4 linked regions of the Elephas maximus indicus genome follow. The protein of the gene in region 4 purifies or fractionates together with the protein of the main gene of each other region. This does not show direct contact. Links are inferred from orthologs where the notes say so. Each region holds a gene or a part of one and is shown on either strand. Other genes may lie near its edges. The genes, in order: CEBPB, PTPN2, PIAS3 and STAT3.

Evidence for each region.
Region 1: the proteins of STAT3 (region 4) and CEBPB purify together in Homo sapiens (affinity purification with western blotting; 3 studies listed by BioGRID, with this or other methods). This does not show direct contact. The link is inferred for Elephas maximus indicus from reciprocal best matches to the Homo sapiens genes STAT3 and CEBPB.
Region 2: the proteins of STAT3 (region 4) and PTPN2 purify together in Homo sapiens (affinity purification with western blotting; 7 studies listed by BioGRID). This does not show direct contact. The link is inferred for Elephas maximus indicus from reciprocal best matches to the Homo sapiens genes STAT3 and PTPN2.
Region 3: the proteins of STAT3 (region 4) and PIAS3 purify together in Homo sapiens (affinity purification with western blotting; 5 studies listed by BioGRID). This does not show direct contact. The link is inferred for Elephas maximus indicus from reciprocal best matches to the Homo sapiens genes STAT3 and PIAS3.

The regions. Positions count from the first base shown.
Region 1 is NC_064843.1:19,463,825-19,471,059, reverse strand, and holds CEBPB (CCAAT/enhancer-binding protein beta), read left to right. Parts: upstream 1-4,859; 5' UTR 4,860-5,076; coding exon 5,077-6,114; 3' UTR 6,115-6,727; downstream 6,728-7,235. Other genes in the region: translation initiation factor IF-2-like, read right to left, coding at 2,466-2,545, 4,233-4,821. UniProt on the Homo sapiens protein: Important transcription factor regulating the expression of genes involved in immune and inflammatory responses. Also plays a significant role in adipogenesis, as well as in the gluconeogenic pathway, liver regeneration, and hematopoiesis.
Region 2 is NC_064829.1:8,896,062-8,904,067, forward strand, and holds the start of PTPN2 (tyrosine-protein phosphatase non-receptor type 2), read left to right. Parts: upstream 1-5,000; 5' UTR 5,001-5,125; coding exon 5,126-5,194; intron 5,195-8,006. UniProt on the Homo sapiens protein: Non-receptor type tyrosine-specific phosphatase that dephosphorylates receptor protein tyrosine kinases including INSR, EGFR, CSF1R, PDGFR.
Region 3 is NC_064821.1:157,723,587-157,731,396, reverse strand, and holds the start of PIAS3 (E3 SUMO-protein ligase PIAS3), read right to left. Parts: upstream 3,003-7,810; 5' UTR 2,901-3,002; coding exon 2,877-2,900; intron 782-2,876; coding exon 364-781; intron 205-363; coding exon 120-204; intron 1-119. UniProt on the Homo sapiens protein: Functions as an E3-type small ubiquitin-like modifier (SUMO) ligase, stabilizing the interaction between UBE2I and the substrate, and as a SUMO-tethering factor.
Region 4 is NC_064837.1:49,311,868-49,319,749, forward strand, and holds the start of STAT3 (signal transducer and activator of transcription 3), read right to left. Parts: upstream 3,014-7,882; 5' UTR 2,784-3,013; intron 1-2,783. UniProt on the Homo sapiens protein: Signal transducer and transcription activator that mediates cellular responses to interleukins, KITLG/SCF, LEP and other growth factors. Once activated, recruits coactivators, such as NCOA1 or MED1, to the promoter region of the target gene.

The sequences.
Region 1 (7,235 bases), on a different chromosome or scaffold from region 4:
TGTTGATTCTGACTCTTGGCAACCTCATGTATGATACATCATGTATTACAGTGTAGAACTGCTCCATGGGGTTTTCTTGGCTGTGATATTTACAGAAGCAGATCTCCAGGCCTTGCTTTCGTGGCACCACTGGGTGGGTTCAAACAGCCAACCTTCAGGTTAGTGGTCAAGTGCAAACTGTGCCACCCAGGGGCCTCAATCCAGAGGATTCATTTAAATTGACTCTGCAGTCCCTGAGGTTGCCACAAGGTGACAGCATATGCACAGACAATTTTCACTGGCTAGCCTGAGAGGCTCTGCCGGTGGTGCCGTCAAAATGACCCTATAGGACAGAGTAGAATTGCTCCTCAGGGTTTCCTAAACTGCAGTCTTTACGGGAGCAGATTGCCAGGTCTTTTCTCCAGAGGAGCCGCATGTAGGTTTGAACCACCAACCTTTTGGTTGGCAGCTGAGTGCTTAACCACGGCTGCATCAGGGCTCCTTCAGTGGCTCTGAGGATTCCAAAATCCCAGATTTGTGGATTTCGGGCCTGACAGCCCTCAGGGATCTACTCCTCGTCCCATTTGGCAGATGGCAAAACTGAGGCCTCAGAGAGGAGACGTGATGGGGAAAAATCCTGGACATTAGAATCAGGGGACCTGGCTTTTAATTCACTGTGATCTTGGGGGAAGCCCTCTCTCAGCCTCAGTTTCCCCAGTGTTTACTGTTTTGTGAGGTTTTCATGACTTGTAGCAGTCGAACCCTTTGTGGGGCTAAAGAGAGGTCTGATTTGACTCATGTGTTGGGGGGGATGCAATAGGCCCAGAACCCCCAAGAGAGGGGATATCCTCATCCTCATTTTTACAGACCATGAACTGAGGCCCAGAGGGGACACCAGACGTGGTCAAAATTCCACTGCAAGGACCAGAGCAGGAAAACAATCCAACCTCCTTCACCCTCTTGTCCCACCCCCACTAGAGACGGCCTCAATTAATGGCCTGATGTTTTGCCTTATTTTCCTGCCTGCCGGCGGATTTCTAAGCCCTTCCGCTGATACTTTTACTGTTGTTAGTTGTTATGTCTGAGCCCATTGTTGCAGCCACTGTGTCAGTCCATCTCGTTGAGAGTCTTTCTCTTTTTTGCTGACCTTCTGCTTTCCTATTCTACTTTTACTACTCTCCTCTTGGGCAAGCTGCCTGGGGTTTCTCCTCCTGAAGATGGGGCTAAGGATAAGCGGCTGAGAATGGGAAGACGGAATTCTGAGAAGCTGTCTGGGAGCACAGGCGGCGTGCATCCATGTCCTGGGCCGTGGCCCCTGCCTGGCTCCTGCCCATCACTGTGAGGCTATGTGGGTCCAGTCCACAGCTTCTGGTTTGAAAAAAGAGAATCCAGAAATTTGAATTTTGGTGTGAAGTCTTCTGATTTTTAAATGTTGGCAATAAATCCACTTAAAAAACAAAATAAAACCAAACCACTATGGGGCCACTCTGAACTCAGCTGTGGATTGGCTCTGACCGGCTGGCTAGGTTTGAGACCCTGTCTGGCCCCAGGTTCCTACAGAAACCACGTGGGATGGTAACTGGAAAGGGTCACTGTGTGTGACCCCAGGTGGATCCCGGTCTCTTGTGTCCTCACTGCCTGCAGGCCCAAAGTGGCCGGTCCCACATAGCCACTCTGGCGTCTTCCTGGCCTCTGGGCCATGGCGGTTCAGAGTCCCCGGCAGCCCCTTCCCTGGGGAAAGATTGAGCATTAATGGTGGGGCAGGAGGCAAGACCTGTTGAGCAATGAGCCTTGTAAAAACAAGGGCTTACGTCACCTGTGCACGTAGCCTCCCTGCAGGACACCTGGGTTGGCACTGGGGTGGGAACTGCTACTGATCTCACTGGCCAGTGGGGAATCTGGCCTGGGTCGCCATGCCTCAGGTGGGGTCAGACACCTGGATGGGGCGGGATCTGGTCCTTGGGTGCTGGTCCCCAGCATCCAGGTGGCCACCTGACTCACTCTGACCCTGGATCACCCTTTTCTGAGCCTCAGTTTTCCTATCCAGAAAATGGGGTTCACAGCACCCGACCTGTTGCGATTTATTACAAATCCAAAGAGGAAAGTTAGGCTGGAAAGATTTTTATCCCTTCCCACCCCTTTGATGTGACCTGGAGCAGGCACAGTTAGCTCCCCTGGGACTCAGTTTCCTCATCTGTAAAGTGGAGATAATAACAGGACTTGCCTCTTACAAATTAGGAGGGTTAAATGAGTCAATACACACAAAGAGCTTACGATATGGTTCAGAGAAGGCAGATTTGCCTGAGAACGCACAGCAATCCCCCAGTTAGCTCCAGGCCTCCCAGGCCTCACTGTATCTCCCCAGAGTGTTGAGAGGCTGGGGTGGGGGCTGAGATTCAGAGAGGGCAGCCATCCTGCCTGAGGTCACACAGTCCAGGAAATGGGGAGTCTCACCTTCTTCTCCACATCCACCTCCATTCATTCGTTCAGTCATGGAGCACCTTCTGTGTACCAGGCACTGGGGAGACAGCCAACAAAGCAGACAAAAATCCCTGCCCTGGAGGGGCTGACATGGGGAGGGGGCAGTGGGCACAGAAAGCAAGGACAGGTGAGAAGGGTGGGAAAATAAAACAGGGAGATGTGAAAGGAGCGCGTGAGGGGCTGGGGCTTTTGATGGGTGGTCAAGGAGGGCTTCTCGGAGGAGGAGGTGACAGTTGGGCTGAGCCCTGAGGGGTGAGAAGGAGCTGCCTGAGGCAGAGCTGGGCGAACAGTGTTCTTGGGTCCAGGGGAACAGCGCATGCATCGATTCACTGGGAAATACTGAGCATGCCCTGCTTAGGAGTTCCAGGCTGCCAGGAGCCAACCGTCCAGGGGAGAGAGAGACAAGTACATACGCAGCTAGGATAATGGGAGATATGGTTTGAGGAGGAAGTTCCTGCGGGGCGGGACAGGGAGGGCCCTCTTGGAGGCGGTGGCCCTCAAGCTGAGGCCTGAGCGTCCCACTTTGCAGCTGGGTGGCCTGGTTGGGTGGCCCTAGGGAAGTTGCTGCACCCCTCTGGACCTCAGTGCCCTCCCTGGCCCAGAGGCTGCTGGGAAGGCCCCAAAAGCGGGCAGGTCAGGCCAGGCCAGGCCAGTGTTTGATCCTGTCCTGCCCCCCACCCCCAAGGGCACTGGCAGATGTCATTTCTCTCGCTCTTGGGGGCGGAGGTCACCCCAGCTCAGGAGATAACGCTGAAGGTTGAGCAATGCCCGCTTGCCTGCCTGCGGGGGACAGGGCTGGGGTCAGTGGGCTGGGGGTCAGCCCCGGGCAGTCCAGGAGCTCCTGCCGGGCTGGTGGCCTGGGCCAGGAGTAGCCAAGCGAAGGGAGGCAGGGAATCGCCAAAATGGCCTAGGAATGGGGCTAGAGAGGGCAGGTGGTCAGAGGGCCTCAGGCCTGGGTTCAAATCCAGTATGAACTCCTGGCCCAGTTCCCTTTCTGTGAAATGAGGGCAGAAGAGCACCTGCCTGGGCAGGGCTCTTAGGTGAAAAAGTGAGTCCCAGGTCCACTGATCGCATAGTAGGGACTTGCGTAAAATGGCGAAGGTCCCTTCTCTCTCCTGCATGCCCCCCAGCAGGCGGCCTCACAACCCCCCTCACCCCCGATCCTCGAAAACAGAAGGCTTTTTGGCCTCTAAACCTGTTGCCATGGAGTCAATTCGGATTCAGAGACCCTATCGGACAGAGTAGAACTGCCCCATATAGAGTTTCCAAGGAGCGTTTGGTGGATTCGAACTGCTGACCTTTCAGTAAACACCAAGGCTCCTTTTGGCTTCTAGGTTGGCAAATAGGTCTTAGGGCACTGGGACAAGGGCTTTTCTTTGGAGATGAATGGAGGCCATGAGGCTGTGTGACCCCGGGCGTGCCATGTTCCTTCTGGGCCTCCTCTGTACCCTCTACTGAGAGTGCCTTTCTCTCCCATGGGGGGCCCAGCGGTCTTAAAACTTAAGCCTTATGTTTGGGAATAACGTTAATAACGACAGGCTTACATGGACTAGGCGCGACGTGAAGTGACTCGCCCACGGTCACACAGTGTGGTAGAGCCCAGCACCCCCGCCATACGTTCCCGAGTCCCAGGTCGGGGGTGGGGTGGGTGGGGCGGGCAAAGACGCGGGTGTGGCTTAAGGGGGCGGGCAGGTGCGGTGGGCGGGGCTGGGGAGGGGCGCAGCCGGATCTAGGCCTTGGCCCCAGAAGAGCGCGGCCCAGCACATCCCCACCTGAAGGTCCGCGTATCTGCAGTGCTTTTAAGAGGCGAGTCGCCACGAATGTGGAATCTCCTTTTTCAAACAGCTGGGGATATAGGGCAAATTTAGGGCAGGGGCTGAGCCCCGGAAAGGGCTTTAGAGATACGGCCCGTGGAGGGGTCGGGGTCTCGAGGGTCCCGCCTGTGGAGCGCCCCCTTTGTGGGGCGTCGGGGCTGGGCTCGGCCAATCCTGAAACCACCGCCTCCTCCAGCAGGGGGCGGGCCGCGGCCGTGTTTGGGGTGGGGAAGGCAATCGGGTCGCCCCCTCCCCGGATTCCCCCCTTCCAGAGCAGCCGCCAGCCCAGTGGGGGCGGTCCGGGGGCGGGGTCGCACCTCCCCCTCTTGCTCCCAATCCGGGGACTGCTAGGTGGGTGTGGGCAGGGGGCGTGAGGTCTCCCCCCCCCCGGCTGGGGGTCCCTGGAGGGCGTGCTAGTGGTCCGGGTCCGGCCTCCTCGCCCGGCCGCCGACCTCTCGGGGGTCTCGGGTGGCCGTGGCCTCCGCGTCCCAGCGGCGGCGGCGGGAGGGGCCGGGGCGGCTGCCAGGCGTGACGCAGCCGTTGCCATGGGCCGCCTTATAAATAACCGAGCTCGGGAGAAACTTTAGCGAGTCAGAGCCGCGCACGGGACCGGGAAGGGGACCCAACCGAGGGTCCAGTCGCCAGCCCCCGCACTAATAGCGGCCACTCCGGCAGCGGCGGCAGCGGCAGTAGTAGCAGCAGCAGCAGCGACAGCGGCGACAGCTCGGAGCCAGGAGGCCGCGCCACCTGCGGGCCGGCCGGAGCGGGCAGCCCCAGGCCCCCTCCCCGGGCACCCGCGTTCATGCAACGCCTGGTGGCCTGGGACCCAGCATGTCTCCCCCTGCCGCCGCCGCCTGCCTTTAAATCCATGGAAGTGGCCAACTTCTACTACGAGGCGGACTGCTTGGCTGCTGCGTACGGTGGCAAGGCGGCCCCCGCGCCCCCCGCGGCCAGGCCCGGGCCGCGCCCCCCCGCCGGCGAGCTGGGGAGTATCGGCGAGCACGAGCGCGCCATTGACTTCAGCCCGTACCTGGAGCCGCTGGGCGCGCCGCAGGCCCCAGCGCCGGCCACGGCCACGGACACCTTCGAGGCGGCTCCGCCCGCGCCCGCCTCCGCCCCCGCGCCCGCCTCCTCCGGGCAGCACCACGACTTCCTTTCCGATCTCTTCTCCGACGATTACGGGGGCAAGAACTGCAAGAAGGCGGCCGAGTACGGCTACGTGAGCCTGGGGCGTCTGGGGGCCGCCAAGGGGGCGCTGCACCCCAGCTGCTTTGCGCCCCTGCACCCACCGCCCCCGCCTCCGCCGCCCGCCGAGCTCAAGGTGGAGCCGGGCTTCGAGCCCGCGGACTGCAAGCGGAAGGAGGAGGCTGGGGCGCCGGGCGGCGGCGCCGCAGGCATGGCGGCGGGCTTCCCGTACGCGCTGCGCGCCTACCTCGGCTACCAGGCGGTGCCGAGCGGCAGCAGCGGGAGCCTCTCCACGTCTTCGTCGTCCAGCCCGCCCGGAACGCCAAGCCCCGCCGACGCCAAGGCGCCCCCTCCGGCCTGCTACCCCGGGGCCGCGCCGGCGCCCTCGCAGGTCAAGAGCAAGGCGAAGAAGACCGTGGACAAGCACAGCGACGAGTACAAGATCCGGCGCGAGCGCAACAACATCGCCGTGCGCAAGAGCCGCGACAAGGCCAAGATGCGCAACCTGGAGACACAGCACAAGGTCTTGGAGCTCACGGCCGAGAACGAGCGGCTGCAGAAGAAGGTGGAGCAGCTGTCGCGCGAGCTCAGCACCCTGCGGAACTTGTTCAAGCAGCTGCCCGAGCCCCTGCTTGCCTCCTCCGGCCACTGCTAGCGCGGCCCCCGCGCGCGTCCCCCTGCCGGCCGGCCTCCGCGCTGCCGGGCGCGCCGCAGCCGCCGAGACTCCCGGGAGCGCCCGCGCCCGCGCTCCCGCCCCCGCCCCTGGTGGCGCCGGCAAAACTTTGGCACTGGGGCGCTTGGCAGCGCGGGGACTCGTCGGTAATTTTAATATTTTATTATATATATCTGTCTATATTTTTGTCCAAACCAACCGCACATGCACCTGGGGCGCCCGCCTGTGGTGTTATTTAAAGAAGAAACGTCTATGTGTACAGATGAATGATAAACTCTCTCCTCTCCTGCCCCCTCTCCCGGCGCCGGCGGGCGGGCCGGTTTCGAAGTTGATGCAATCGGTTTAAACATGGCTGGACGCGTGTGTACACGGGACTGACGCAACCCACGTGTAACTGTCAGCCGGGCCCTGAGTAATCGCTTAAAGATGTTCCTACGGGGTTGTTGCTGTTGTTTTTGTTTTTTTGGTCTTTTTTTTTTTTTTGTATTATAAAAAATAATCTATTTCTATGAGAAAAGAGGAGTCTGTATATTTTGGGAATCTTTTCCGTTTTAAGCATTAAGTAAGAACACTTTTAATAAACTTTTTTTTTTGAGACTGGTTAAAAAAAAGCCTTTTGGGGGCAGTAGTTGGCTTTTGATTTTTTTTCCCCTTTATTTTGGATTGACTTGATTTTCGCTTTCTGGTGTGGGGGATTGTGTTTCTGTGGGGGCTGCTAATATTTTTGGCTTTTTCGCGGCGGGGTGGGGGTGTTGCAGCTGGGCTTGCTTTTAACCGGCTGCCCCCCAAGGTCAGCTTGGAGGTGGGAGTGCTGGTCCTGGGGGTGGAGAGTGCTGGGTCAGGCTTTTGGGGTGACTCAGCACCCCTGGGTGCTGGAGACCGGTGGTTGAGAGGTCCACTTGGGGAGGGGCAGGGACCTCTGGTCCTTAGTGCCAGGCCTGGGTTTTGAGGGAGGCAGAGATCTATGATCCCCCACTATGGGGGCTAGGCAGGCAGGCCTGTGATGCCACAGAAAGAGGGGGTGCCGGTCTTGGTCCTGCTTGGCCCAAGTCAGGGGTAGGCTTTTTTGATCAGTGTAGTGGGGCAGGCTGTTTAAAAACACT
Region 2 (8,006 bases), on a different chromosome or scaffold from region 4:
GGAGAGGTCCATATTTATGTCTCTTCCAAAGAAAGGTGTTCCAACCGAATGTGGAAATTATCGAACACTGTCAGTAAAATTTTGCTGAAGATAATCAAAAATGGTTGCAATAGTACATCAACAGAGAACTGCCAGAAATTCAAGCCAGATTCTAAAAAGGACATAAAACAAGGGATATCATTACTGATATCAGATGGATCCTGGCTGAATGTAGAGAATACTAGAAAGATATTTACCTGTGTTTTACTGACTACGCAAACGTATTTGACTATGTGGATCATAAAAAATTATGGATAATATTGTGGAGAACAGGAATCCAGAACACTTAATAGTGCTGTACACAGACCAAGAAGCATTCATTTGGACAGAACGAGGGGATACTGTATGGTTTAAAGTCAGGAAACGTGTGTGTCAGGGTTGTATCTTTTCACCAAACTTATTCAATCTGTTTGCTGAGCAAATAATCCGAAAAGCTGGACTGTATGAAGAAGAATGGGGTATCAGAATTGGAGGAAGGCTCATTAACAATCTGCATTATGCAGATGATACAATCTTGCTTGCTGAAAGTGAAGAGGACTTGAAGCTCTTAGCAATGGAGATCAAAGACTACAGCCTCCAGTATGGATTACACCTCAGCATAAAGAAAAGAAAAATCCTCACAGCTGGACCAACAAGCAAGATTATATGAAATACAGAAAAAATCGGAGTTGTCAAGGATTTCATTTTAATTGCATCCACAGACAATGCCCATGGAGGCAGCAGTAAAGAGGTCAAAGGACACACTGCGTTGGACAAGTCTGCTGCAAAAGACCTCTCTGGAGTGTTGAAGGACAAAGATGCCATTTTGAGGACTAAGGTGCACCTGGCCCAAGCCATGGTGTTTTCAATCGCCTCATATGCATGGCAAAGCTGGGCATGAATAAGAAATACCAAAGAAGAATCAAAGCTTTTGAATTATGGTATTGGCGAAGAATGCCAGAAGAAAGAACAAATCTGTCTTGGAAGAAGTACAGCCAGAATGCTTCTTAGAAGCAAGGATGACGAGAATTCGTCTCACATATTTTGGACATGTTATCAGGAGGGACCACTCCCTGATGAAGGACATCATGCTTGGTAAGGTAGAGGGTCAGCAAAAAAGAGGAAGACCCTCAACAAGACAGACTAAGACAGTGACTGCAACAATGGGCTCAAGCAGAACAACAACCATGAGAATGGTGGGACTGGGCAGTGTTTTGTTCTGTTCATAGAGGCACTATGAGTCGGAACCGACCTGACGGCACCTAACAACAACTTTATAAAAAACTCACTATATTTATATATTTCTGTATATGTATTTCAAGAAAAGGTTTATTTAAAATATATATATATATACTTGTCTGAAGTTCCACTCTCACTGAAATCTATTGTTGTTGTTGTCAGCTGCCGTTAAGTCGGTTCCGACTCATAGCGACCCCATGCACAACAGAACGAAACACTGCCTGGTCCTGTGCCATCCTTACAATCATTATTACACTTGAGGCCATTGTTGCAGCCACTGTGTCAGTCCACCTCATTGAGGGTCTTCCTCTTTTCTGCTAACCCTGTACTTTGCCAAGCATGATGTCCTTTTCCAGGGACTGATCCCTCCTGACAACATGTCCAAAGTATGTAAGACGCAGTCTCACCATCCTTGCCTCTAAGGAGCATTCTAGCTGTACTTCTTCCAAGACAGATTTATTGGTTCTTCTGGCATTCCATGGTATATTCAATATTCTTCGCCAACACCACAATTCAAAGGCGTCAACTCTTCTTCGGTCTTCCTTCTTCATTGTCCAGCTTTCACATGCATATGATGCAATTGAAAATACCAGGGCTTGGGTCAGGCTCACCTTAGTCTTCAGGGTGACATCTTTGCTCTTCAACACTTTAAAGAGGTCCTTTGCAGCAGCTTTACCACAAACTGACAGCCACATGGGATACTGAAATCTACACAAGCAACCAAATGTCTGCCTGGTACATCTCTTGTGTGGACATTAGGTTTTTAGGCTGTATTTTGATATGTTGATCCCTTCGAAGTTCTAGTTTAGGGTCTATGGGTAGTAAACAGAGTTTTCCCTTAAGTGGATATAGACATACGATGGTAGTCATCTGGGGAAGAGGAGCCTCTTAGGTAGGAAACTGGAATTCAGAAGGAATGTCTTGTTTAGAAGAAAGAAGGGACTCCAAATTCCTGCTATGCATCATTTCCTTTGTTCTAGACTAGTGGTCCACAACCTGTGGGCTGCACAGTTCACAAGGGCCAAGGAGTAAGTTGACCACATTGCTAAAAATCTGAATGTACTATCCACCAAGCATTAGCTGTAAGATGAATAAATACCTCATGCTTTTCAAAAAATACAAATTCATTTAAAATATTACTAAATTCATAGTAGACTTTGGTCATTGTATATTTTCTCAAGTATGCAAAAACTATGTACGTAAAAGTATAGCTACTATCAAAAGGACTTTAAAAATTTTGTGGGCAAAAGGGGAACCTGATACTTAAAAATCTTGAGAACTACTGATCTTGACCTCATATAGGGCAAAAGTCTTTGTCTGAGGTCTTTAGAAATGGATACTAACAAAGCGATCGTCTGCTAAATGAAAGGTGGGTGATTCAAAACCACCAGCTGCTCTTTAGGAGAAAGATGTAACAGTCTGCTTCTGTAGAGATCTAAAGCCTTGGAAACCCTATGGGGTCTCTAGAAGTCAGAATCGACTTGATGGCAGTGGGTTTAAATGCAGGCAAGCTAGGAACTTGTTGGGTTGAAAGTCATATGACAGAGAGAACAAACCATATTTTATATACACAATACCCAGAAGCAAGTTACTCTTTTATAAAAAGTTTCTTTTATCCCTGAGTTTTAGCCTTATGTAAATATTCTTTTAGCACCATAGCTCTTGAAGAGCATTAAAATGCATAAAAATCATCTGGTGAGCTTCGTTTCAAAGCCTCATTCCCAGAAATTCAGATTCCTTAGGTTTGGGTAGGGCCTGTGATTTTGCATGTCTATCAAACAGAAAATGATGCTCCTGTGAGGACCACTGCACTAGATTTTAGCTGCACTTCAGCAAAATAGGAAAAAATGAGGATGACAATTGACCTACTAAGGGATGGGAAATATCTGGTGGCAAGAACTGCTGCTTTGAGATCAAGATGCCCCTCTTCTCAGTGGAATACCCCCACCATTACCGACGTTGGAGGGTCTCAGTGGATTTTATTAAGTGGACAAACTTTCTTTGGTAGAAGAGTGGATATTTTCAGGTTGGAAAGCAATCTGCTGAGCTAGTCCCTTTGGGAAGTACTTGATACCAACAATTTTAGGGTATTCTGGGAGAATCTGCGCCTTTATTCTAAATAATTAGTTTCAATGACAATAGTTTCAGGAACCAGGACAATTAGAGACTGTGCGGTTTTTTGTTTTTTTTTTTGAAGGGAACTCTATGTATTCCCAAATTAAACAATGTAGGTAGAAAACGCTGGTTGATTGCTTAATTTTCTATCACTCAGTCGCTGTGGAGCGGACTCCGACTCACGGCAACTCCGTGTGTGTTAGAGTAGAAGAGTGTTCCATAAGATTTTCCAGAAGTAAAAAAAAAAATTTTTTTTTTTTTTTAATTTCCAGGCCTTTGTTCAGGTAGCCTCTGGGTAACAGTGGCTCTGGGTAGCAGTTCCAACTCATAGCAAGGCCATAGAGTTTCCTAGGCTATAATCTTTTCTGGAGCTCATCTCCAAATTTTTCTTTTGGCGTGGCTGCCTGGGCTCGAACCGTCAATATTTCAGTTAGCGGCCAAATTGCTTAACCATCGGGCCACCAGGGAATCTTTAATTTTCTATTATTTACTGGTACTATATTCTGTTGGAACTCTGGTTGCACAGTGGTTAAGCACTGGGCTGCTACCAAAAGGTCAGCAGTTCTAATCCACCAGCCACTCCTTGGAAACCCTATGTGGGCAGATCTACTCTGTCCTATAGGGTCGCTAGAAATCAAAATCGACTTGACGGCAACGGGGACGTGACTTAAGGGCACTTTCGTACCTCAAGTATTTTAATCCTCTCAGACTTTGCTGGTCAAAACGAACTTTCTGTGATGATAGAATTGTTCTATATGTACGCCCTGCAATACAGTCCAGTAGAAAACGTGGCTACTGAACACTTGAAATGTGCTACTGCGACTGAGAAATTCATAATTCCATTTAATTATTTCAATATTGAACAGCACAGGTAAAATTTTTCTAAGCGTTCACATTTCTTATGACCATGATATAATAAGCATCCTCAATATGAGGAGCATATGAGTTCACTAACAACTATCGTAACGTGAAACAAGAGGATTTCCGTAATTAGCAAGTTTGTTGGACAAAAAAGGATTCTTTTCTTTTCACAGGCAATTTTTAAGTTGTGGGATGTTTTCTAAACAAGATGTATTCTCCCAAACTCCAGGAGAGGTTGCCCCTCCTTTTGCTATAGGGATTTTTTTGGCATAAAAAGCCGCAGGCGCAGAAGAGCTGCCGTCGGGGCGGGCGGGGGGAGAGGGATAGGCTCTTTTCTCCAGAAGGCTGAAAAATATGCTCCAAAGATGGAGCACATCCGACCTACCTGGATGATATTTAAAATAAACTGAAATACTGCATTATTAAAAAAACTGCAATTAAGGAGAAAAAGAGCATCGGGACGGAGAAAACAAGACGGTCCGGACGACTTCGGAGGGGACCTCCTGGGGCCCGACCCAAGCCAGTTGCCCTTGCGGGTGCCCACGCCCCACCCCCGGCCGTCCGCGCAGCCCGAGGGCGGGGCCCCTCAGGCCGAGCTTCCCGGCACTGTCGCCAGGCGGGGGGAGGGGCTCGGGCCCGCCCTCCGCACCTGCGCGCCCACCAGATGCACCGCCTGCCCGCACCGCCCAGCCGTGCGGCCTCCAGCGGCGCGTCGGCACGCTGACGTCCTACGCGCCAGGTACTTTCCCCACAGCCAGCGGTGGGAGGGGGCGGGGAGGGCGGCCACGCGCCGCGCATGCGCCCGCGGGGCGTCTCGGGTTCCCCGGATCCGCGCGGGGCATGAGCCTCTCCGCGGCCAGCGGCTTCCTTCGCGTCCGTGGCTCCCGCCGCCATGTCCGTCACTGTCCAGCGGGAGTTTGACGAGCTGGATGCTCGGAATTGTTGGCAGCAGCTGTACCTGGTGAGTCGCAGGGGCTAACACGGCGGCTGGCCTCCCAGCCTCCTCTGCCCCGAGGAACACGGACTCGAGCTCGCCCGGCTCCCTCCGCCGCCTCCCCGCCTCTTCCCTCCGCAGGCGGAAGTGGCAGGGCCGCTCGGCGGGCGGGCGGACGCCGACGGGCCGGGCTGGGGGCGCGCCGGTCGGGCGCAGAAGCTTGCTTCTTCCCCTTTTGGAAAGAAAAAAAAAAAAAAAAGGCTTTAAGTGGGGATACTCCTCGCCAGCGCAGAGTGAGCTCTGGAGGTTGGTGCCACAGCGTCGCCTCGTGGTGGCGCGGGTGGGCCCTCTGCGTTCGCGGGCACGGGGCTCCCGCTCGCCGCCCCGCCCCGGGCTGCTGCCGGCGGGGGTGTCTGGGCCGGGGGTCCTCGGGGTGCCCGGTCCCCGTCTCGGAAGGCGGGGAGCGGTTGGCGGTGTGTGAATCGCGGTGGCCTCGTCGTGGCGGGGCCTAAACCTTCGCGGCGGCGAGAGCTTCGGGGTCAGCACTTCGACGGTTCTCAGTCCGGGGTCGTCCACAGAGAGCCTTCCTGGAACGGACATGGGGTTCGGTTGTGTTGTGAAATGATGAAGGAGTATCGTTCCCTGTGTGCTTTCCCGAATCGAGATAAACTTTACACGCAGTAAAATGCACAGATCTTATGTGTACAGTTCAGGGAGTTTCACAAATTTATACACCCGTGCAAGCATCACTCAAATCGAGATAAAGAACATTTTTTGACCCCGGAAGGTACCACATCACCTTCTCCCACGTCCCGTAAACCACCTCTGTTCCACAGAAGCATCTTGCCTGTTCTGGGACTCTTACTAATGGGATCGTACGGTATGAGTTCTTTTGTGACTGGCTTCCTTTTTCTTTAAATTTTATTGTGCTTTAGGTGAAAGTTTATAGAGCAAATTAATTTCACATTTGATAGTTTGTACATAAAGTGTTCCGTAACATTGGTTTGAGACCCCTCAGTGTGTCAGCACTCTCCCCATTTCTGCCTAGGTTCTGCCTTTCCTTTCCTGTGGATTTTCTACCCTTTCCTGTATTCTTATCTGTGCTTTTGGGCAAATGTTGTTCTTTTGATCTATAGTCACTCTAAGGAACACATTCCTCTCAGCTGTTACGGTTTATTTTATAGGCCTGTCTGTTGTTTGGCTGAAAGATGGTCTCTGGGAATGCCTTCATTTCCAGGTCAGAAGGGCCATAGACTCAGGGGTTCCTTCAGTCAGTCAGGCCAGTAAGTCTGGTCTTTTTTGTGAATTTGAGTTTTTGTTCTACATTTTTTTCCTGCTCTTTTGTGATCCCAGTGACTAGCTTCTTTAGTCAACTAGAATATGTTTTAATTCAAACAAAACTTTTTATTTAACATTTATTTGATTGCCTGCTCCTTACTGTTAATTCCCAAGATTGGATTGAGCGGTTAGTTAAATGCTGCCAGATTTGTTTTGTGTATAGTAAAAAAAGCCATTGCTGCTGAGTCGATTCCAACTTATAGTGACCCTATAGGACAGAGTAGAACTGCCCCATAGAGTTTCCAAGGAGCGCTTGGTGGATTCAAACTGCCGACCTTTTGGTTAGCAGCTGTAGCACTTAACCACTACACCATCAGGGTTTCTGCTGTGTACAGTAAAAGGGGGAAAAAAGGGCTCTCCTGTATATCTGGAGGATCTTAGTTTTTTTTTCTCCATTTTCCTTTAATTGGATGACAGTAAAAAATGTTTCCTTTGTCGTTATGTTCAGAATGTATACCATTTTGTTCTGGAACACGTTAGCAGGCAGAGTCTTAAATAGTCTTAATCACATCAGTACAGTGTATGTTAGAATAGGGCACTAACTTTTAAAGAGTGCTGGTTAGGACTGTTCCAATCGCGATAAGTCTTAAATGCAAGTTGTAGTAGGACTCTTTATGTGAGAGCCTGGCAGCTGTTCCTCAGTTATAGTTGGTTTAACAGAGGAGAGGCTGCTGTCTTCAAGATGCAATTGATATATCAAAATACCGACCTGAAAAGAGAAAGATCAGTGGTGCAACTTAATTCAGCTTTCTATCTTGCTAAAGCAGCTTGATTTTTTTTTTTTTGTCATTATTATCCTCGAGAATTCAATAAAAACTGATCTCAGTTGTCCGAAAAATGTACGTACTTAGATCCACTGAAAATTTCGCATCAGGTTTCAAAGAGCTCAGGAAACAGTTTCATGGGGTCATGGCTAGTCATCTTTTGGTTTAGTGAGTTGGTCAGCATTCTTCTACTTTTCATAATGAAAGAACCAGAGCGTTAGCTTTGTCAGTAGGAATCATGCCGTGCATGCTGGTGTTACAGTACAAGTAGGTCACAAAACAAGAATGTAATGGAAAGCAAGCCTGGGAAGAGTTGGCTAAGGGTGTTTTCCACAGGACTTTGAACCTGGTTCCTTCGAAACCCCTGCTGAGAATTTGCATCTCTAACAACTTCCCAGGCCATGAAAATGCTGCTGATGAGGGGCGGTTCAGAGAATCGCTGGTAGAGTGGTGGTTCTCAAAATTTATTGTACACGAGAATCACCTGGAAAAAAAAAAATGTTAAACTGTAGAATCTGATTCAGTATATCTGGGGTGGAAACCCTGGTGGTGTAGTTGTTAAGTGCTACAGCTGCCAACCGAGGGGTCGGCAGTTTGAATGCGCAAGGCGCTCCTTTGAAACTCTACAGGGCAGTTCTACTCTGTCCTGTAGGGTCGCTATGAGTTGGAATCGACTCGAGGTTACTGGGTTTGGGGGTGGAAATGCAAATTCTCATCAGGGAATGAACCAGTTGAAG
Region 3 (7,810 bases), on a different chromosome or scaffold from region 4:
AATGAGAGACAAAGCAGGTGCAGGAAGATGGATAGGGAGAGCAGGGGGGAACAGAAGACAGAGAGCAGAGTAGAAGGATAACCGCCCAGAAATGAGGCAGAAGACTGATGGGGAAGTACCTGGATGTGAGGATCTGCTGCACTTGCTGGGGTGTAAGGGCAAAGGTAAAGTGCGCTTCCTCAAACCGCTGGCTAGAAGTGGATGCTAAGGACACAAAGGGGCAGTTATTCCCAAGCCCATGCACAAGTGGCCACAGAAGTTGACCCCATCCCAGATTCCTGATCCCACAGGGCTAAAGCCCAAGAAAGGATTGGGGAAGAGGCATGGGGTCCAGGAGGGCCGAGGAACCACAGAGTGGCATACCGAGGGTGGTGGGCCGGATGAGCTCCCCGTAGACTTCATAGAAAGGCAACGGTTTCATAGTGACATCAGGGTGCACAGGCTGGGGCAGAGACGGGTGCATGTCTACTTCACGTTTGGGGACCAGCACAGTGCCAGGGGCCAGGAGGGCCGGGGGAATGGGGGCTAGGGGGCCAGGGGAGCCTACAGGAGGGGTACCAGGGGGCAGAGAGATCAAGGAGAGATCAGAGGGCCCCAGGGTCTTCCGGGGAAAGCGTCGGCGGTAAAGCTCTTTGATCTTCATCTGGACGCTGGGAGCACAGCTGGATTTGAGAAGGTGCAGGGCCTTGGCCAGGAGCTCGTGCTTCCTTCCACTCTTGTTCCGGCCAGCAAAGCCAAGGAGCACCTGGAGCTCAGATACTCGGAAGCTCATCACCATGTGCTATGGAGAAGAACAGAAGCTTGAGGATCCTGCCAAGGACACTGGGGCTAAGCCGCCCATTGGGCAGTGCCCCTCTCCCTCCAGCACTGATCAGAAAGATGCTTTGCAGCTAGTGGGTTACTGTCAGGCAGCCAACCTGGCCAGGGGGACACCTCAGTCTCATTTCAACAACTCTCAGGTCAACCTCCCCACTACCCCCCAGCTTGAGCAGCCCCCGTCTCCCATGCCTGGAAATTGACCACAGTGTGGGCAGGGAAGCCAGACAGCAAGCCATCCCCAGACACACCCTGAGTCCACTACATCCTTCTGCCTCCATCTATGGACTATTTTTTAAGCTGCTTATCTCCTCTCCTGCTCTTTCTCAGACCCATTCCAGCCCCCTGGAAAGAGAATAAGAGACAGGGAGAAGGATGGAGAGAGGAAAGGATTCAGGCTAGACGGCCTTACGGGGAATGAAGAGACAGGTGGTTAGACGATTGTGCCCCACAGTCCACCCCTCCCAACTACCTCAATCTGCCTCAGCTACTTGCCCCAAGTCTCTAAAGCTTTTGTGGACAGGTCAGGGTTCAATACTCCTAACCCCCCCAAACCTTGTCTCTGTGTCATCTGTGTTAACCACCCTTCCCTTCAGTCCTAGTTTTCTAGGAGGAAAACAAGACCAAAACTGGGGGAAAAGGGAGAACAGTGAACCACTAAGTTCAGGTGTCCTGCCTGTTTACCTGTTTACTCCATCTGCTTTTCTCCTATATAGAGAAAATAAGTTATTCCCACTCAGTCCCTCCCAAAGGGGTGAAAGAAAAGAGAGCAAAGCTCTAAACAGAAATCCTGGGAGAATGAGGAGAAGGCGTACAAATCCTGATCCAGGATACAGAACTGCAAGCTCCCAGGGTGGTGCAAATGGTTAACACGCTTGGCTGCTAACCGAAAATTTGGAGGTTCGAATCCAGACAGTGGTGCCGCAAAATAAAGCCCTGACAGCCTACTTCTGAAAAATCAGCCAATGAAAACCCTACGGAGCACAATTCTACTCTGAAACACACGGGATTGCTCTGAGTCGGAATCAATTCGGCTACTGGTTTTACAATGGCACCTGGGCCCACTGGCCCAATGGCTGGACCCCAGCCTGCCTAGGGCTGTGGCTCCATTCGAAAGGGGCAGAATAAAGCCCGGAGGCAGAGGGATGAACCCACTAGTTTTAAGGTTCTGTGACCTATCCTCTGATGCAGTTACCCTCAGGCTGTGTGTGGTGATGGGAGGGCACAAAGAGCTCTCTCGTTGAAGGGCTCCTTTCCATGAATCTCTAGAAGACTCAGCCACAGGCCAGCCTTGCTAGCCCTTCAAAATTCTTCCCTTCATAGGAGGGGTGGCCTTATGGCTTGGTCCATTTTGAGAAATATGGTGAACAACTTGCTACTCTTCCTTCTTCCTCCTCATCCTTATCTCCTCTGTCCTGGCTTTAGCTTTCCAATAGTTGTGCCTATAACTGCCCCTCCTTCCTATCCCAGTTTCACACTCCTCTGCCACAGCCCAAAGACACCCACTCACTAAGGCAGGACCCTCCTCTCAGCCTCCAGGATGCTTTTGCCCCACCCCTCAAAGTATCTGCACGCAGCCCCGCCCCCTATATCTCAGCCGCCAGCTGGGTATTTCCCAAGGTTGGAATACCAAAAGCAGCCCCAAAGCCTCTATACTGTCTATTGCATTTCCCCGAGGACCCTCTCCTACATCTGCCCGCCAGTCCCATCCCTACCTCTGCCCCCTGCTGTCGCATCTCTTGGCCTTGATCAACTAGCCGCCTAAGACTCTACAGCAGCTTTTCCCCCGGCCCTACCCCTACATCTGCCCCAACTACCAAATCCGACTTCTACCCGCGTCCCCGCCCCCTGCGCCGCGGCCCCCAACAGCTGCAATTCCCCTCAGCCCCGCCCCCGAACCCCACCGCAGCCCCTTCTCTCTCATCCCTTGCAGCCCTACAGCCATTCCCCGCCACGTCTCCTGCTGCCACCCGAGCCCTCAGCACCCAGTCTCGGTCGCTGCCCCGATTCGGCGTACCGCCGGGATCCGTCCAGATGGGGATGGGGGAGGGGGCCGGTACCTTTAATTCGCCCAGCTCCGCCATCTTGAGACATCGCAGGCGCCCGAGCCCGAGCCGGAGCTCAGGCCCAGGGACCGGCGCACAACTCCCCACCCCGGCGCCGGCCGCAAATGCCGCCTGCTCCGCCCCGTCCGGCCCCCTACACCGCCCCTTCCCTGCCCCGCCCGCCTGGCTCCGGACAAGCCCCAGCCTCCGTCCCTCCCTCCGCGGCCGGACCCAGCCCCTGCACGTCGTTGGCGGGTCTACAAGACGGGTAGACCCGGAGGGAGTGTACGGCCTAAAATCGCGGGGTCCCGGAGGGTAACGGAGAGAAGGCGGAACCGAAGTGCCTGGGGGAGGGGAGATTTGCCACGCCAGACTTGGGAGGGGATGAGCTTTTAGGGAGTCAAAGATCCTTGAAATATGGAGGGAAAGTATCGGAAACTGCTCAGTCTCAGGGGAATGGGGGAGGAGGGTGGCAAAGTTAGAGCGAATACCCTCATGTCAATCTCTCCAAATTTAAAAAGCTAAAATCAAAGAGTTTTACCAACTCGCGAAATGGGTGAGCTCTGCTGCATTTTAGGGAAACTACGGAATCATAAGGAAGCTATGGTGGCCCAGTGACTAAAGCGCTCGGCTGCTAACCGAAAGGTCGATGGTTCGAAACACCAGCCGCTCCTGGGGAAGAACGATGTGGCAGTCGGCTTCCCTAAAGTTTACAGCCTTGGAAACCCTATGGGGCAGTTCTACTCTGTCCCACAGGGTCGCTGTAAGTAGGAATCGACTTGATGGCAGTGGGTCTGGGTTTATGGAGTCGTAAACAGTTCAGTTCAAGACGGCTATTCTCAGTCCTCTGCCCCCACTTCCCCCCCATACACCAACTACAGTGTAGCTCGTGGTCCAGCCGAAGTACTTCAACTCTGCAGCAAAAAAAGTTTGGTGCTGAGAGCGTGACTTACCAGCAGTCTCAGGGAACGGGGAGGGGGTTCGGAGGGTTCCGAGGTGGGCCGGGGAGGTGGGGAAAGGGGGCTCGGCGTCGCTCCGGCAGTCTGCACGGCTGGAGTCCTGTCCGGCAGCTGGACGCTGCAGCCGCGGCTCGGCCTGGGCGGGAGCTCCGCCCGCCCCAACGCTCGGGCTGGGTCCGCCCCCTCCGGGGTAAGCCCTCCCGGACCGCCCTGCTGGGGAGGGGGCGGGGCCTGAGGCTGGAGGGGGCGGGGCTCGGTGCCCAGTGTTCATGAGATTAACTCTTCATGTGAGTGGATCGGCGAAGACAAGTTCTTGGATCCCATCTTTCACACCTCTCTGATCCCTCGCGCTGGCATAACGGCTTGAGGAGGAGGCACCCTACAAATAAGAGTGTGGACCAGGGATGTGGCCCCATAAAGAGGTTCCTACTTTCTCCCTCCCTGGGGGATAACCTGGGTCTCTTGAATCCAAAGTGTGCCTGGCCCTAACTCTACGTGTGGTTCCCCACCCTCTACCCCAGATACACATACAGTCCTCACAAGAGACCCTACATCTTGGTGTAACTGAAGGTGAGCAGAGCGGAGGTTTTCTTGCCCGTCTCTGAACTACCTACTCTTCTACCTCCAAGGCCTTGGACTCTTCAGGGGCCCCCTTCTCAAAGAAGCTAATTACTTACCTTAAGGCCCCAGAGTAAATCCGTTTTATATCCATAAAAACGTCAACTTTGGGCAGTGAACCCATACTAAGGAGCCCTGGTGGTGCAGTGGTTAAGAGCTCAGCTGTTAACCAAAAGGTCAGCAGTTCAAATCCACCAGCCGCTCCTTGGAAACTCTATGGGGCAGTTCCACTCTGTCCTACAAGGTCGCTATGAATTGGAATCCACTCGCTGGCAACAGGTCTTAAGAACCTTAAGTAAGATCCCTGGGTGGTATAAACCCTATGGAGCAGTTCTACTCTGTAACACATGGGGTCACTATAAATCAGAATCCACTCCAGGGCAGTGGTTTTTGTTTTGTTTTAACAGAAGGACCTAAATGTCCTTTGTTCAACAAATATTTGAGTGATACTCAGGGATTGTTAGGTGCTGTGGACACAAAAACCTTGCAGGAGCTCACATTCTAACAGCAGCGACAACACATGTTAAACCCATAATCAGAATACTCAAAGTATTTCAATAAATAATATGAACAATTCCCTCATGTAGCTTAAGCCTTCAGTATAATCCCAACCATGAGACCCCATCCAAGCCATAAGACTGAAGATGCCAGCCTACTAATATTCCCAAATACCTGTTGAAGTGGCCCATGCCAACTACCTTGTGGAATCTATCCCTATGGAAAATGTCCACCCTCTCCTGACACTCAGGTTCTTTCCTTGATGCTCTGCTGTCTACACTGGTAGGCCCCTCAGACTAAACCCAGGCTCAGGTGTTTGGTTCTAAATCCCAACTGCCCCTTCCTACACCTGAATTGTCATCAGGCCCTATGCCTTTTTTTTTTTTTTTTTTTTCTTCGTTCAGTTCAGTCCTCTAGATCAAAAGTTACTATGGATTAGTTTTTATTATCTAATAATTTTAGAATTTGTGGGGAGAAAGGGTTGGAAGGTGATTACAAAGAGATGGGGGACATTTTAGTAGTGATGGATATGATATCTTCATTATCTTGATTATGGTAATGGTTTCACGAGTTTAAACATATGTCAAAATTTATCAAACTATACACTTTAGATATGTGCAGTTTATTGTATGTCAGTATAAAATTAGAAGAAAGTCAATCTCACCTTGGTTCCTAGTGATTTTGTGAAGGAGGGATCTCCTTTAAAAACGAATTTGAGGTTATAAATTTTGGCATTCCTGCAGAATAACAGAAAACTGGGAACCAAGGCAGCTGAATCTGGTCCTGTACACAAGTTCCAGGAGGGCAGGCACTTCTTCTGTGCTGTTCACATTGTATCCCCAGGGCCTGGCACATAGCAGACTTTTAAAATATCTGATGAATACATTAACAGAGAAAGAGGGGGAAACTGAAAATCAGGGCCAAGTTCCAGGCTGAAGGCAAAGACATTATGATTCCCATCATGGCCCACCAAGCTTTACCTCCTGCCTTCCTACTCTCACCTACACACTCCCATCTGATGCCTGGGGCTCCAGGGGGAGGTTTACAGGAGTAGTGAAGTCCCTCCCTACTACAGTCCATTAAACAGGCTGCCCAGCAGAAATAGGGAGGAACATTAGGGTTAGAATTGCTTTGTGAAAGATTTGTAAAGTCAAGGAATACTCCAGGGCTTGGGGTTGTTGGGGTCACAGTTTACGGGGCTGTATAGAGGGAGATTGTACAGAAAGAGCAGCGGCTGGAAAAGGTTCCACTCCTATGCTAACGTTAACATCACTTACCACTCCCACAACTCAGCCATCCTGGATCAGCTTCCAGGAGCCCGGGAGGGAGCCAAAGGCCTGGTTTGCATTACCAAAGCAGTTTCCTGACTCACAATTAGCCAAATGATCTACCCCCTCTCTGAACCTTTCTCTCTGCAGTTTTTTTCATTTTTCCCACCCGACTAATGAGGAATGGAACAGTCCTTCTATATTTTCTGGTAACTGGGAGCAGGCAAAAAAGAGGTTCTGTTCTCCTTAATAGAAGTCCCTCGGACCTTTGTGATGCTCTTCATCTGGCAGCTGCTCTCTTTCTCCCCTTCTCCTTTCAATCCCTGCTCTCTCCATTCTCCCAGCCTTCAAGCAGCCCTGCGCCCACCCATGCAGACTCCAAAACTGACCTGCACCTTCTCTAGGACCGGATCTACATATCTCATCTGCTCTGTTCCTACCCAAACCCTGAAGCCAGCCCAGCCCCTGGAGCCCATGTGTGGCCCCTGCCTTCAAGGCAGCCGCTCCCCCACTTTTTTTCTCTCAACCCAGCTAGTTTGGCATCTCCCGTATAAAATTTTTCAAAGCTGAAGGCTGAGCATAAAACGATTCACAAATAAGTTCTTTTCTCACCACCTCACATAGTCCTTGCCCCCTCTTTCCCCTGCCTGTCTCAGTTTCCACCTAAGCCTGGTGCTCCGGAAAGGCTTCTAAAGGTTGGTTGGTAACGAGAGGCAATTTAGTATCTTTTTTGCCAAACTGCTGCTGTCTGACCCAGCGTGACCCCACAGAAGGCAGGCTGAGAGAAGGAATGGGAGGGACCAGAGTGTAGGCCACAAACTGCTGTTCCAGGTTTTGGAAGAACTCACTGCCTCACTTTTACCTAGCAGTCTGGCTGGCTGAGGAGCAGGAAGGGGAGGAGACCCCACAGAAGTGACCAAGACAGATACATTTTTTCAGTCTGAGAACAGAACTGGAGGGAAGAAACCAACTGAGTTCGTCTTCATCCCTTTCCCAGGAATCGGACTTTTCATCCCCGTTTGCACCTGGGGCACAGAACAGTAACCACATAAAATAAACCCTCGAATCTAGACGCATGGTCTGATGCATGACAGAATATTTTAGATTGTACACCTTAAAGAAAATCCAGGTCTTTCAATTTCTCCTCCTTAAAAAAGGTCATGGAGCCAGGAGTCTCAAGATCGAGACAAAAGATCAGTATCTGTAAGATAAAGATTTGAAAAAGAAAAGGAAGAGCATCAATCCCCCGTTTTCACTGAGGGCTATGTATTTCAAGTCTTCATCACTAAATAGACGACAGATATGTGGTAACTTTGGTGAAGGGTAAGACAGGCAATATGGGAGAAGCCAGCACAACCTGTACAAGGCAAGGTCCTGGTAGCTCCACAGACACATCTAAACTCCCTGAGGGACCAAACTGCTGGGCTGAGGGCTGTGGGGGCCATGGTCTTGGGGAACATCTAGCTCAACTGGCATAACATAGTTTATAAAGAAAACATTCTGCATTCTGCTTTGGTGAGTAGCGTCTGGGGTCTTAAAAGCCTGTGAGTGGCCATCTAGTATACTCCACTGTTCTCACCCCTTTGGGAGCAAGGGAGAATGAAGA
Region 4 (7,882 bases):
TGAGACCCAGTTCAAATCGCTCCTTTGCCAAGAAGACTTCCTAGGCAATTTCAGCCCCTATAACCTCTCCTTCCTCTGAAGACTGTAGTGCTTGGTGCAGCGCTGTCCAATACAACTTCCTATAATAACAGAAATGTTCTGTATCTGTACTATATGCTTTTTTTTATATACAATAGCCACCTTTTTGGAAAGCACAGGCTCAATGCTCTTACCACCTCTTTGACGACAACATGTCTCACTGGATGGTTGAAGTACTGATCAAGTCACCCCAGTAGATTACAAATTCTGGGAATAAGACACATTTTATTCTTCCCAGCAACTTTCACAAAGTAATGTTTGTTGACGGATTGGTATGCCACCTCTCTGAAAACCATAAGCTAAAAGGGAGCTGGATTCAAGCTTCTGCAATGATGGTCTCCATCTGCCCCATCTCATACCTGAATGTCAAGACACTTAGACGCAGGGAGGAGAAAGCATCTTTCTGGAGACGCAAACTACCAGTGTAAGCCACAAAGCACTCTGGTTTAAATGACATCTAAGTCACAACTGCCCTTCCCTTAACAAATTTTCCCTAAGAAAACATCTCTTTCCCTTAGCCAAATACCTGTGTTCTGATGGTGCATTTTCCCTACTAAAAACAGTTACTTTCCAAGTTAGACATAGCAGTTAGAAAAGTAACCTAAGCAAGCCCTATCTGTACTTCTTTTTCACCTGTTTATTGAATCTTTGTGTTCCTTGGAGTCTTACAGCCTGCTGGAGGTATTTCACCATCCAGATATATGTTAGAATTGCACTGACACTTTTCCCAGCAGGGCTTACCAAAAACCAAACCAAACCCAGTGCCGTCGAGTCGATTCCAACTCATAGCGACTCTACAGGACAGAGTAGAACTGCCCCACAGAGTTTCCAAGGAGCGCCTGGTGGATTCGAACTGCTGACCCTTTGGTTAGCAGCCGTGGCACTTTACCACTATGTCAGCAGGGCTTACATTCACTCTAAATCAACACCTAATACTTAACCATTGATAGTCAAAAAGAACACAACATATACAGAAAGTATGAGTTCTGCCACTATAGCACTCTGCTGACTTGGACAAGCGTCTTGTTCATTTGCCCCCAATTTCCTTATTTACGAAATAGGTTAATGTTATATGAATGACCTATTATCACAAGCCCTTTGTGGGTCTAGTCATAACTGTGGGTATTTCTAAATGGCTATCCTTCCCAAAAGATACACATACACATATTTTCATGAATTTGCTAATGGTTCTTTGTGGTGGGTGTGCTAACAGATATAGAGACTAAGATCAGCCCCCCAAGATCTACGGAGGTTTTTTTTTTTTTATTCCAGACTTCTCTCTCCCATCCTACTGTGCAAACATCTGAACAAAACTTCTACTAGTACTCCAGTCTGACATATGTAATGAAGAAATCAATGTGTTGACTCAGGGAACACAGACATATTTAATATAAAGAAAAATAGAAAATTGGCTGAATCAAATCACAATACGGTCTAAGTTCACACATAAAAATGGAGATGATTTACCATTTTGACTTATTCAAACCAACGTTTATTAGCACAGCCAGCCAAAAAGTTACAATCCATGTACAGAATAAGTACACCCTTTACATACACATGCAATAAAAACCAGAAGGTACAAACTATATTTTTTAATAAAAAAAAGTGACTAACCACTGATTATGTCAACACACATACACCCACTTGATATAACAGAGTGATGTGTGCTAAACATGGAAAAGGCAACTTGGGCGAGGGTTTGAATTTTGCTAATTTAAGGGCAACCACACCCCCAAACACAGGTAAAGTTTGCGCACATAGCTTCGCCAAGGCCAGCCTGTCTTTGCTTTCCTCTCCTCTGCATTTACCCAAGATCTTGGCTGGGAGACAGAAACCACTGTCGATTGGTTCATTCTGTCCTATGCAATTAAGCAACACCACAATCCAGTAAATGCAATGGCTCAATTATTTATCTTCTGGCCGTGTTTACCAGGTGTTTATAAAAGAATAATGCCAAGGGGGAAAGAGGTTTACTTCTCTCTAGGGCTGGCCTGATTGGGGTTTTATCTTGTTTCGTTTTGTTTTAAAAAGGGGGGGAAAGCACGGCTTAAGCTAGAATAAGATGGAAAGGAATTTAGAAAGAGTACAAGTCTTGTCAATTTCCCTACAGGAAACTAGATTCTTATGCAATAATCCTACCCACAACCAACCAGCCGGTCAGGCTCTCGGGGAAGACACCTATTCCTACCTCCGGAGGATTACAGCTGGCACCTAAAGGAGCGGGAACCGGGCAAGGAGGAAGTGGCTCAGCCAGGAGCCGCCGGACCCTGCCAGCGGGGCGGGGACGAGGCTCTTTCCACACCCCCGCCCCCAGTGATCTCCGCCGGTGTGACAGTCTCTCCTGTGGCCGGAACGTCCCCAGAGTCCCAGGGAGCAGGAAGTAGGGGGGCTGTCCCTCACCGCTGCCACTCCATCCCACAGTCCTCCCTCTCGAGCTCAGTCTCACTCTTCCTCCGCTTCTCCCCTTTTCTCCGAGGAATGAAACTTCCTTTCAGCGCCCCCTCTCCTTTCAGAGGCCCGCTCCTGTCATCCCAGGGAGTCGTCCCTTCAGAGCGACGCTAGGTGTCCCCTCATTTCCCCCCGCCCCACTGAAGTTTCCAGTTTTTCCCCAAACATGCCAAAAAGGTCGCACCCGCTCCCGCGTCCCCGGGGTCCCCAGGCCTGGGGGCGTCTGGGGAGACGGCCCCACCCTTCACCCCCTTCACCTGTTTCTCCGGCTGAGGCCCGACAGGCCGGGGCTGCGCTTGGGCAGGGGTGCGGGCCGCGGGGTTCCCTCAGGCCGCGGGGCCTCTCCCAGCAGACGGGGAGAAAGAACACCAAGTTGGGGTGCTAGTCAAGGATCCGGTTAGGGCTCGCTCCCTCCGTGGCGACGTCGGAACCCCAGGCTCCTCCTCCGGGCCTACGCCGCCACAGCTCCGGAAACGGCTGAATTACAGCCCCTCCAGCCAATCCCCGCCCAGCGCCTGCCGGGCTTAGACACGCTGTTATGCATAATTCATGAGATAGCCAGCTGTCTCCGCCATCCAGAGGCTCCGCTGCGCGCACTGTACCTACGAAGCCCTACCCACCGACCAATCAAAAGAGTCACTGGGGGAAGGGGCGGAGCCAAGTAAAGGCTGGGGACGCCCCTGTGCTGGCTGCTCCGGAGGGCGTAGTGCTCCTCCCTCCACAACAGCCGGGGAAGAGCAGAGGCCAGCGGCACAGAGGCCCGGGGGGAGGGAGGAAAGATGACTGGAATGTCCTGCTGAAAACTCAGCTGAGTTCCTGGCAGTGTGTGACGTCAAGACACTTTAAATGCCCCTGATGCGGCTCCCGCCTGCCCGCTCTCCCTGTTCCCGGCCTTTGGCACCACGTGGAGGCGAGGTTGGGAGCCTCTTACCACGTGCGATTCAGCCAGTTAGACAGTCCCCAGGTATCGCCAGGTCCTCAGGGGGCCCAGCTCCTGAGTCGGGTTTCTGGCGGATAACAAAAAGAACATGGGTGACTCCTGCCTGCTTTGAACTTAATTTCTGCTTGAGTCGGGACATACACACCCGGAAACATGACGTGGAAATAGAGTAATTACTAGAGTGCGTGGGGAGAGGGTAGTGGATTTAACCCTGTCTTCCTTTCCATTCCTTGAAGCTTCATACGCCAATATATATGAAGGTTGACACGTATACTCAGTATTTGACATTTTTATGCCTGAGTTGAAATACCTGAATTTGCCTGTTTTTTGTTTTTTTTTTTTTCACCCGTCTACTTCTTACGCAGGTTTTACTGAATTGAAGCCAGTAGTTTATAGGAAGTGTAGGTTTCGCATAATGGAGTCATAATAGAGGATAAACTTTGCATAATGGAGTGATTTTTGCATTTGTTTTGCTGATACTAACAGGGTTTTAAAATAACAAAAAACCCGTTGCCGTCGATTCGATTCTGACTCATAACGATCCTATAGGACAGAGTAAAACTGCCCCAGACTGTTTCCAAGGAGCGCCTGGTGGATTTGAACTGCCGACTCTGATTAGCAGCTATAGTTCTTACCACTACACCACCAGGGTTTCCTTTAAAATAGCAACTATTAGTATTTATGTTTGTAAACACAAATCTAAAAAGAGCCCATTTTCTCATCATCCAGATAACCCCTACCCCTAGTGGCAGTTTTTTTAAATGAAACTAATACACATTTTTTTAAGTTTTTTAATACATACTCATGGTTAGAAAGTTCAAACCGTTCAGAAAGTGGAAAATGAAAATCTCCTCCTTCCCCTTTTCACCAGCCCCTCTCTCCGAGGGTAACTATTCTTATTAATTTCTGGTGAGAAAATCAATGACTCTTGACTTTAGGAGGGGGTCACAAACCCTCTGAGAGTCTAATGGAGACTATGGTTTCCAGCCCCAGAAAAACACACCACGTAGCATTTACTTGTCAGACTTAACATCGTTCCTCAGCTACCCGAAATCCGTTCAAAGACACTAGATTTGGACCTCTTGGACCTCAGTACATCCAAGTGAGAGATGAGAGCAGCTGTGGGGCACCTGATAGGGTCACTAGGTATGGGATTGAGAGTCTCCCATGTCCCTCCTGTAGACCCAGCCCAGTGTGGAAATCACTGTGCTTGTGTGTAGCATGTGTTGAGCACCCTGTTTGTTTTCTCTCCACCCCAGGACAGATAACCGTCCACCTTCCACCTCACCTAAACTGTCTCTCAGCTGTGCTATACCATGCAGTTGAGTGCCTCCCTAATAACCAAAACTAAAACCCACTGCCGTCCAGTGGATTCTGACTCATAGCAACTCTATAGGACAGGGTAGAACTGCCCCATATGATTTCCAAGGAGCGCCTGGTGGATTCAAACTGCTGACCTTTTGGTTAGCAGCTGTAGCTCTTAACCACTGCGTCACCAGGGCTTCCTCCCTAATAACGGTGGGTCTAATATTTATTTAGTGATTTACTGCTTACAAAGCACTTTTACACTTGTTACCCCTTTTTTTTCTCACAACAATCGGCATGTGATAGATAGGAGAAGCCATATTATTAGCACCTGTTTCACTGATAAGAAACTAAGGTCAAGATAGGGTAAAGTTCTCCAGACTACAAAGGTACTCACAGCTAATCCAGGTGGGTTCAGAGTCTGGTTTTTGGACTCCAGATCTCATAGCTTTGCTCCATTCACTCAAACCCTATTCTCCTCCCCTGACCCCTCACCAACTGGTTTTCATTTCCTCACTGCCTCTCTACCTCATTTACACATAAAATCTATCCCTGAGCCTATACATTTGACCCTGGAACCTCTCCACAGCCTAGCCGCTGGCCTTCTCCACACCTCTGCCGAATCCCTCCTGGTTAAAGATGGCAGTTTCGCTTGGGCCAACCCTGTGGCTTCCTGACTATTCTCTCCTCACTCCAGCCTGTCCTTCCCCTGGCTGCCAGGGACATTGTCCTAAAAATTAAATAAATAAATAAGCAGTCATGTCACAGCCTACTTAAAAATCTCTACTGTTCTCTATTACCTACAGGATAAAACGCAAATTAGATTAAAAAAAAAAAGGTATGTATATATAGAGAGAGAACATCTAAGTCAGTGTTGGGCATCTGGTAGGAACTCAGTGTTCTTTCCGCCCTCTTGTTTTGGCTTACAAAGTCCTACAAAACCTGGCCTAAACCCCCTTTTCCCATCTCATCCCCTCTGTCCCACACACCCTAAGCTCCCACACTGAACTTATCTTCCTTCAAACATGCCAGCACCTTCTGCAATGCCATGCCTTTATGGATATTCTTTCCTCCACATGGAACACCTTCCCTCCCCTCATTCCTTACCTGAAAAACTTTTATTTATCCTTCAAAGCCCCATTCCAACACCACCTTGTCTAGGCTTTCCTAGATTCTTCCTGGCAAAGTGAATCACTTCTGTTGGACTTGCTCAGCAGGTTGCTTCCACATCAAGTATAGCATTCACCACCTTGGATGACAGTGTCTTCATTTATGAGTCTACTTCCTGATAAATAAAATTAATAATTAGCATTTATTAACTATTTACTATGTTCCAGGAAATGTGCTAAGCATTTTACATAGATTATCTCATTTGATCCTTTCAAGAACCTAGCAAGGTGGGTGCTATTATAATTCTCATTGACAACTGAGGAAACTAAGGCTTAGAAAGTTAAAGATTGATCGAAGGCCACACAGCTGGAAACTAGGGACAAACTCAGAATGAGAATCAGGCCTGGTTGACTCCAAAGTCTGCACTCTCTACCCACATGGTAGATAACATTTCCCCCTAATTTAGGTTCCTGGAAGCTTGATGGAATTACTGCTCCTTTTCTTAACCCCAGCATGTGGTATCTAACATAGAATTCATGCAAGACTGAGTTAATTATATGTTAATAAATACGAGTTGAATAATGGTATCAGCAATAGCTAATATTTATGGAGTGTAACTGTGTACTGCGAGCCCTGGTGGCGCAGTGGGTGAAGTGCTCGGCTGCTAACCAAAAAAGTCCATGGTTGGAAACCACCAGTGGATCCCCAGAAGAAAGATGTGGCAGCCTGCTTCCATGGAGATTTACAGCCTTGGAAACCCTATGGGGTCTGTATGAGTTGGAGCTGACTTGATGGCAGCAGGTTTGCTTTTTGGGGTATTTTTTTACTGTGTGCTAATCATTGCTTTAAGCATGTATTAACTCATGTAAACACACCTATTAATTTATTTAATCCTTACAGTAACCCCAAAAGGACGATACTGTTTTTGTTTTTTTAAATTTTTATTGTGCTTTAAGTGAAAGGAGGATACTGTGATTTTACAGATGACTAAAATGAGGCTTGTTGTTGGGTGCTGTGAGTCAATTCCTACTCATAATGACCCCAGGTGACAGAGTAAACTGCCTCATAGTTTTTTCTGGCTGTAATCTTCACAGGTTTTTGTTCTGCAGAGCCTCTGGATGAGTTCAAACCATCAAACTTTTGGTTAGCAGCCAGGCCCTTTAACAGCTTAACTGGCTTAACTGTTGTGCCACCAGCAGGGCTTCAAATCAGCTTGTTCAGCTGGAACCCTTGCTAAGAATTTGTATTTCTAACAAGTTCCCTGCTGAGAATTTGCATTTCTAAGAAGTTCCAAGCTGATAATTTGCATTTCCACTCCAGATATACTGAATCTACATTTTAATCAGATTCTTAGGTATAACTTCCTGGGAACTCATTAGAAATGCGAATTCCCAGCAGGGAACTTGTTAGAAATGCAAATTATCATCAGGGGTTCAAACCAGAGCGAACTGGTTCAAAGCCCTAGCCACTAGCCACCAGGGCTCCTTAAAATGGGCTTACCCAAGATTAAGTGATTTACCCAAAAACATAGAGTTGGTAAGTAGCAGAGCCAGGATTCAACTCCAAGTGTGTCTAATTTGAAAGCCTGAATAACTATTCTGTGATTATATCTCCAGGTCTAAGCTTCCTCTTTGCTATGAGTCAGAATCAACTCGAGGACGGCAATGGGTTAAGCTTCCTCTTGAATGCCCAAAAAAGGGTCTCGAGGAGAGAAAAAGTGAGTCCCCACCCTCTACCCACCAAGTGAATAAAGGCAGAGAGAAGCAGCCCAATGATTTTATGGTGGTTTTCAAACACGTTCGTGAATTCTTTGACACTTCTGCCATCTAAAGGTAGAGTCTAATTCTTCTTGCTTAGTGACTCAGTTCTGACAAATAAAATGCAGTGTAAGCAATGCTGCAGAGCCTTGATCAGAAAAGGTAATACAGCTTCCACCTGACTCTCTCTCTTGGGAGGCTCACCCTTGGAACTCAGCCACCATGTTGTGAGGAAGCCCAAGGT